Linked DNA regions of Callithrix jacchus. The protein of the gene in region 1 purifies or fractionates together with the protein of each later gene. This does not show direct contact. Links are inferred from orthologs where the notes say so. Each region holds a gene or a part of one and is shown in the gene's direction. Other genes may lie near its edges. The genes, in order: KCNJ4 and DLG4.

Region 1 (4,307 bases):
ATACCGGGTAACATCACTGACTGCCCTTTAGATGCCACATGCTGGGTTTGTGTTGGGACAGTTGTATCTGTGAATATGTGTGTCCATGTGCCAGGAGGGTGTGTGTGTGTGTGTCCGTGTGCCTGGCATGCGTATATTGGTGTACGTGTGTATTTGGGATGGATTGTGACTACATGGATGTAAAAACATGTATTCATGGCTTCATGGCATTTGTTGGCAGGTGGATGTGTACTTGTGACACATGTTTACCCGTGCATCTAATGTCTTTGCTGATGTGTGCATGCCCCTCGGTGGGCATGCGTGGGATTGTACTTGTGGTGTGCACAAGTGGATGTAGAGAACTAGGAGAACCTGTGATCGTGTATGTGTGGGAGTGTGCTGAGGGGTCCTGGGTGTGGGGGCTTTTTCTCCCCCATCTCCTATCACCTGAGTGACCTTCTTCCCCAGCTGAGGACTGTGGCTGAGGTCACAGGCACGCATGGGACAGCTCCTGCCCTTCCATAGACCTGTGTCTTGGGCCAGAGTGGGCACCAGGGGCCAGGGTGGGTGGGTGAACCTGGGGCGAGGACTCATGTGCCACCCCCTCCCTGCCTGGTCTCCTCCCCTCCCCACAGCAGGAGCAGCAGCGGGAAAGGTTGGCGGAGGGGGGCTATTTTGGGAGCGTCTCCTTAGCAACAGCTGCCACGGCCGTCTGTGGCGGTTTTTCTATAGGTGCTAAAATATTCCACCCTGGTGACTACTGAGTGCTGGGGGGTGGGCGAGGGTGGAGGTGGAGGGCAGGAGAGACCCCTACAGTCCTCTGTCCCCAGGGCACAGCCTGCTGGGATGGATTCTGGCCCTCTGCCCTCCCAGTGACCCTTTAATTGCCTCTGGACCTTACCACCTGGGAGCTGCTGGGATTTTAGAGCTCCAAGGGTGTGTCCTGATCTGATTTCTAATCTAAGCAGTTGGACTTCCTCAGTTTGCCTCATCTGCAGAATGGGCTGGCTGGACTTTTTTCTTTTTTTGAGACAGAATCTTGCTCTGTAGCCCAGGCTGGAGCACAGTGGCAAGATCTTGGCACACTGCAACGTCCACCTCCTCCCAGATTCAAGTGATTCTCCTGCCTCAGCCTCTGAGTAGCTGGGATTACAGGTGTGCGCCACAATGTCTGGCTAATTTTTGTATTTTTAGTAGAGACAGGTTTTCACCATGTTAGCCAGGCTGGCCTCAAATTCCTGGCCGCAAGCGATAAGTGATCTGCCCACCTCCGCCTCCCAAAGTGCTGGGATTACAGGCATGAGCCACCACACCCAGCCCTGGCTGGACTTTAAGACACTCTCTAGGCCAAAAACCTCTGGACTCTGTGACTCTAGCATTTTGAAGTGGCCTTTTCCTTTTCCTCCTCAGCTGTCCACCTGCCAGTCCCAAGTCGCCCTCCCTTCCGCTCCTCTCCGCCCTCCACATGGGCTCTCAGGGCTGCTGTCGGACCCAGAAGGCATGAGAAGTCCCCCAGAGTGAGCTGGTTGGTGAGTACTCTGCTAGCCTGGAATGACCTTTCCCCTAGAAAGTGAGAGCTGAGCCTGGTTCAAATCCTGGCCCAGACAGCTGCTTACTGCCTGATTGACCCCAGACAAGCCCTTCCCCTCTCTGAGTGTTAGTTCAGGGTCCTCACCTGTGGGGTAAAGACACGCATAGCCCATACCCCATAGAGCTCTTGTGAGGATCAAGGGAGAGAACAGAGAGGAGATGGGCAGGACACATTGCCAAAGTGTATGGACGGACAGAGGCTTCACCAGCATTCCCCTCTAAACTTCAGAGTGAGCCTCTCTTCTCCAGACCATTGCTTCCAGCCACCCCAATCATGCCACCCATCCCATGACTCCCCATGCCTCAGTTACCCCATTGGTAGTAGGTGCCTGTAGCACAGCATTCTTGCAAGAATGAAAGGAGACAATGCCTGTCAATGTCTGGATAGTGCTGAGCTGGGGGCATGAGAGAGGGAGATTCAGGTTGTCCTCACTCCATGGCGGGGAGACGAATCTGTGCTGGATCTTGACAAGGCCCATTGGGAGACCCAGTCCACACTGTCCCATTACAGATGAGGCCTCTGAGGTCCAGAGAGGACATGAATCTTTCCCAGGGACACACAGGTTCTGACATCCATGCCTTTCCCCAACCCCCTCACATTCCTCCCAGGCCTCTGCATGCCCATTTCCATCTCCACCCCCCACCTCACACAGGGCTAGAAGCTACTCTCACATAAGGTGAACAATGTGGAGTCTTCCTTTAGTCTCTGATTATCCTCAAAACAGCTGCTCCACCAGGTCCAGTGGCTCACACCTGTAATCCTAGCACTTTGGGAGGCCAAAGGCAGGCGGATTGCTTGAGCTCAAGAGTTTGAGACCAGCCTGGACAACATAACAAAACCCCATCTCTACAAAAATTTGCTGGGCATGGTGGCGCACATCTGTGGTCCCAGCTACTCGGGAGGCTGAGGTGGGAGGATGGTTTAAGCCGGGGAGGCGGAGGTTGCAGTGAGCAGAGATGGCAGCACTGCACTCCAACCTGGGTGACAGAGCCAGACCCTATCTAAAAACCAAACTAAAAACAAACACACACAGATATTCAAAATAGGTGTTATGTTTTCCACTTGACATATGAGGAAACAAAGGCCGAGAAAGGAGAGGTGGGCTGCCCAGGGTCACGCAGGGCGGGAGAGGAGAGAAAGGACTCTTTCCTGGGGTCTCTGAACCTCTCCCTGCCTGGAGCTCCTCTGGTTGCCTCTCCCCACCTCCTCCCAATCCAGTCTTCTTGCAGGATGAGCAGCTGCCTCAGGGCACAGCCCAGGCCTGGAAAGGTGACCCTCCTTGCCCCAGAGCCCCCATCCCATCTTCAACTTTGTGCCTAGGGACCTGGCATCAGGGGGCTGATCCTGTGAGAGAAGATGCTTTGGATCTACAGACATCCCTGTATCCATGTTCCCCTCCTTTCTGCTCCTTCCTCCACCCCCTGCACCCCACACTCCCAGGACAGCTACCAGGTCAGGCCTGTGGCCAAGCAGGTCATTTGTCTCACCTTCATCCTCCCACTTTCAATCCATGCAAAAGGGTGAGAAAGACCAGGCACACATCTGTTGCCGACTGGGCACTCAGGCTGCTTGAATCTCTCCTGCATCCACGCACTGAGCGTTCATGTGATGGAACATCAGTCCTAGCTGTCTGCCTGTGAGGACACAGCAGAGTAACCAGGGAGAGGCGTGGAACAGGACGTGCGCTGTGGAGGTCCGCACAGAAAGATCCCTGAGAAAGGACGGTCACATGTATTGAGCGCCTACCATGAACTGCTCATTTTGTGGGCATCCACCTCATTTAATCTGCCTCTGGGGAATGGGGGACGTCAGGGTCCTCAATCTACAGACAGGCTAAATTAAAAACATGTTCAAGGTCAAGTAGCTCTCAGGTGCTTTTGAGCCTAGTTTAGCCTGACTCCTCAGCCCACTAAGCAAGAACCATACTTGTGCCCAGCCCAGGGGCTCGTACGTCGTGGGTGCCTAGCGCTGGCTGAATGAACGAGTGGGTAATGAATGACTTCTGCTGGGGTCATCAAGTGGCTTTCTCAAGGAAGTGGCACTGAGGCCGGGCTTGGGAAACAGCAAGGAGTCTCAGGGCAAAGAAGGTGCTAGGCGCATTTCAGGCAGGGGGGAACAGTGAGTGCAGGCAGAGAGGTGCAGAGGCCTGTGGCGTGTTCTGGAATCTGTGGAATCAGGGTGTACCTGTTGGTTTATGGGATGTCGGATGCCGGCTAAGGTGGGACCTGGCTATACCACACTGAGGAGCTGGGACTGGATCCTTTTGTGTAGGGCGAGCCCACAAGGAAGAGAAACACTTACGGTGGTTTGTGTGTTGCTGTTCTTATGCTGACATCCTTGGGGCTCAGAAGAGTCAGAGGGATTTCAGATTTCATAGGTTCTCCACCTGGCTTTGGGGTGCCTCAGTCTCTTCCTCTCTGCACTGGGTCTAGTCAGTGATAGCCAGACTCCCAGGGAAGTTCTTCTGGCTGTCTAACTGCAGGTGTTCTCTCCTCTCACTACCCTCGAGGCAGGAGCACTTTCCCTCCGGTCTCCTCAGAGGGCTAGAGTGAAGTGGCAGGATGGCCAGGAAGTAGCTGGCTCAACCCGAGCCGTGGGCGCTGGGGGTTCCCTGACAACCCAGAGTGTGGGGCCCAGGCCTGACAGCTCAGGGTTATGGAGAACGACGGAGAACAGGAGACTAGGGTTTGGTCCGGCTCTGTCATCTCTGGGTGACCTTGGCCGAGTTTCTGACCTT
Region 2 (3,019 bases), on another chromosome or scaffold:
GGAGTTGTGACTTATAGGGATTTGATACTAGTAAGGGTAACCATGATTTGCAGACACGGGACCTTTCTTTTTCTTATTAATTTGGACAGATTCAAGGTTACCCCTGTGACTTTATGATGCGCACATGTACTGCAAACTGTTTTCTTGAGAGGGTGGAGTTCCAGCTCTCCCTCTGGAAACTGTACTCAGTGTGGGCTGAATGATGGTTAATAGTTGTGGTGGTTACGATTACAGTCAGCGTTTGGTCCCCACACAGTTTTGGGTTACTCAGCACCCATTGTGGCCATGGGAGTGCCATCCACAGATCTCTGGGCTGGGTCTCAGGGTGACTGATGCAACCTTCCTGGGGTCCTCAGCCGGGCTCTGACCAGTAGCCACTTGCCCCCCAGGGCCCTGTTTGATTACGACAAGACCAAGGACTGCGGCTTCCTAAGCCAGGCCCTGAGCTTCCGCTTTGGAGACGTGCTGCATGTCATCGATGCTAGCGATGAGGAGTGGTGGCAGGCACGGCGGGTCCACTCTGACAGTGAGACCGATGACATTGGCTTCATCCCCAGCAAACGGCGGTGAGGCTCTGGGCTCTGTAGCCTTCCTGCCACAGGCACTGAAATTCCCAAGGTCCCTCGGGGTGGACAGCCATCGGGGATGTGTTTGCCCTCTGACCTCCTAGGGGTTTGTCTGTTGGGACCTCCTGGGGACTGTGGCTCCCATGAGCCTTTGGGAAGGACAGCTCCTCATTGAGGAGCACAGGGCCCAGGGCCATGGGAGAAGGGATTATTAGCCAGCCTGGAGCCTGGGGGCAGCAGGGTTCCTCACTGGGCATTTTCCTATCTGCCTTTCCCTCCATGTATCCCACAGGGTTGAGCGACGAGAGTGGTCAAGGTTAAAGGCCAAGGTAGGTGGAGGAGGGGTGAGCCTGGGTGGAAGCCTGAGGGCTCATGGAGCTGAGCTCATAGCTAACCTCGTGGCCGCCTGCTTTTTCTTCCTAGGACTGGGGCTCCAGCTCTGGATCACAGGGTAGGTAGGGTCAGTTCGGGAGGATGTGGGTGAGAGGCACACTGAGCTGCCTTTGATATCCTCAAGGGGGAGACAGGGCCCTAGGTCCCCTGTTTCAGAGCCCCTTGCAGATGCGCCACCTCCTGACAGGTCGAGAAGACTCGGTTCTGAGCTACGAGACAGTGACGCAGATGGAAGGTGAGCCCTGGCCCCTGCCTTGGCCCCCACTCCTGCTGCTGCTCCAACTTAGTCCTTGGCCTAAGCCAGGCTCTGTCTCCGCAGTGCACTATGCTCGCCCCATCATCATCCTTGGGCCCACCAAGGACCGCGCCAATGATGATCTTCTCTCCGAGTTCCCCGACAAGTTTGGATCCTGTGTTCCCCGTGAGTGCTGGGGCCTTGGATGGAGGTGGAGGTGGAAGTGGGGGTGGGGTGGAGGAGGCCCATCCCTGCAGCCTGTAGGCAGAGCCCCCTGGGGGGTTGGTGTGCAGGGGGACACAGGGTTTCTCTGAGAAGGAGTGCTTCTCAGCCACCCTCACATTCCCCAGTACCCATGCCCAGACCAGAGACTTGGAGGCCCTGGAGGGTGCTGGGGGAAGCGGTCCTGCCCCTCTGCAGTCTTGGTCTCTCTGGCAGTGCCCTTTCACCAAATGACCAGCTGGGCACTATGGGGATTTGATTGATGGAGGATGGTTTTAAGCTAGAGGAATGGGGGATAGATCTTTGGGGGGTGGGGTGACTTCCTGGCAGATACAACACGGCCCAAGCGGGAGTATGAGATAGATGGCCGGGATTACCACTTTGTGTCGTCCCGGGAGAAAATGGAGAAGGACATTCAGGCACACAAGTTCATTGAGGCCGGCCAGTACAACAGCCACCTCTATGGGACCAGCGTCCAGTCCGTGCGAGAGGTGGCAGAGCAGGTAGGACCTGGCGGGCACCTGGTCCTCTTCCTCCTCCCCTCTCCCCACCCCATTGCCTCCCTCCAGCTCTCTCTAACTCTCTCTCTCTCTGTCTCTTTCCCTGCTGGGTCTCGACTCCACTCCTCCACCTCCTTCTCCTCTTGGGCAACTCTGTCTGACCGCCTGCTCTCTGCCCCTGCTCTCTCTCCCACCTGCCTTGCTTCCTGACCCCAAACTCCCCACCACCATCTGGCCTCTTTCTCTCCCCACTCCCTCCTCCTTGCCCCATTTCTCCTCTTCCTGTGGCCTTGTTTTTGGTGGCTTGGCCTTCCCCACTGGGTCCCTCCCTTTTCCCTGACTCCCCTCTGGCCCTTTCCCCTGCCTCACCCTTTCCTGGGGCCCCACTCCCCTCTCCCACTCCTCTGCTAACTCCTTTCCCTTCCCCGATGCTCCCCACCCTGCCCTCCCTCCCTCCACGGCTCCTCTCTCCATCTGCCTCCCTCCCTCCCATCTGTCTCCTTGTTCCTTCCATCTGTCTGTCCTTTGACCGTCCTCCCCTCCCTCCTCCCTCTATCCTACTTCCTTTCTCTTTTTTCTTGGCTTTCCTTCCTGCCTGTGTCACCTCTGCCTTGTGCACACTGCCCCATTCGCTGCTGCCCTGGCTCTGACAACCTCTCTTGGGTCCCTGCCTGCTTGGTGCTCCTCCCCTTCTCCATCTTATCCTGTCCCTGCCCTCTCCCCATGCTCTTTGTCTTCCCTATCCTTTCTCTTTCTGTCTTTTACTCTGTCCATACTCCCTTCCCGCCTGACTCTCTGCCCCCATGTTTCTTGACATCCATGTCACTCCCCCTTGGCCAACCTCCCATTCCCCACCTCTCCCTGTCCTGTGTCTCTCCAACACTGCTGTCTGTCCTTTCCTGCCACCCGCTGGCCCCCCTCCGCCCACCCTGCCTGCCCCCAGGGGAAGCACTGCATCCTCGATGTCTCGGCCAATGCCGTGCGGCGGCTGCAGGCGGCCCACCTGCACCCCATCGCCATCTTCATCCGCCCCCGCTCCCTGGAGAATGTGCTGTGAGTATGGTCCTGGGGGCCTCCCCTCTGCTCCCCCACATTTGTGGCCC

The links.
Region 2: the proteins of KCNJ4 (region 1) and DLG4 purify together in Homo sapiens (affinity purification with western blotting, with the first as the bait; 3 studies listed by BioGRID). This does not show direct contact. The link is inferred for Callithrix jacchus from reciprocal best matches to the Homo sapiens genes KCNJ4 and DLG4.

Annotation. Positions count from the first base shown.
Region 1 is NC_133502.1:209,372,804-209,377,110, reverse strand, and holds the start of KCNJ4 (inward rectifier potassium channel 4), read left to right. Parts: upstream 1-1,484; 5' UTR 1,485-1,508; intron 1,509-3,057; exon of another isoform or gene 3,058-3,185; intron 3,186-4,307. UniProt on the Homo sapiens protein: Inward rectifier potassium channels are characterized by a greater tendency to allow potassium to flow into the cell rather than out of it.
Region 2 is NC_133506.1:73,683,202-73,686,220, reverse strand, and holds part of DLG4 (disks large homolog 4), read left to right. Parts: intron 1-389; coding exon 390-566; intron 567-858; coding exon 859-895; intron 896-989; coding exon 990-1,017; intron 1,018-1,146; coding exon 1,147-1,194; intron 1,195-1,278; coding exon 1,279-1,380; intron 1,381-1,746; coding exon 1,747-1,919; intron 1,920-2,859; coding exon 2,860-2,969; intron 2,970-3,019. UniProt on the Homo sapiens protein: Postsynaptic scaffolding protein that plays a critical role in synaptogenesis and synaptic plasticity by providing a platform for the postsynaptic clustering of crucial synaptic proteins.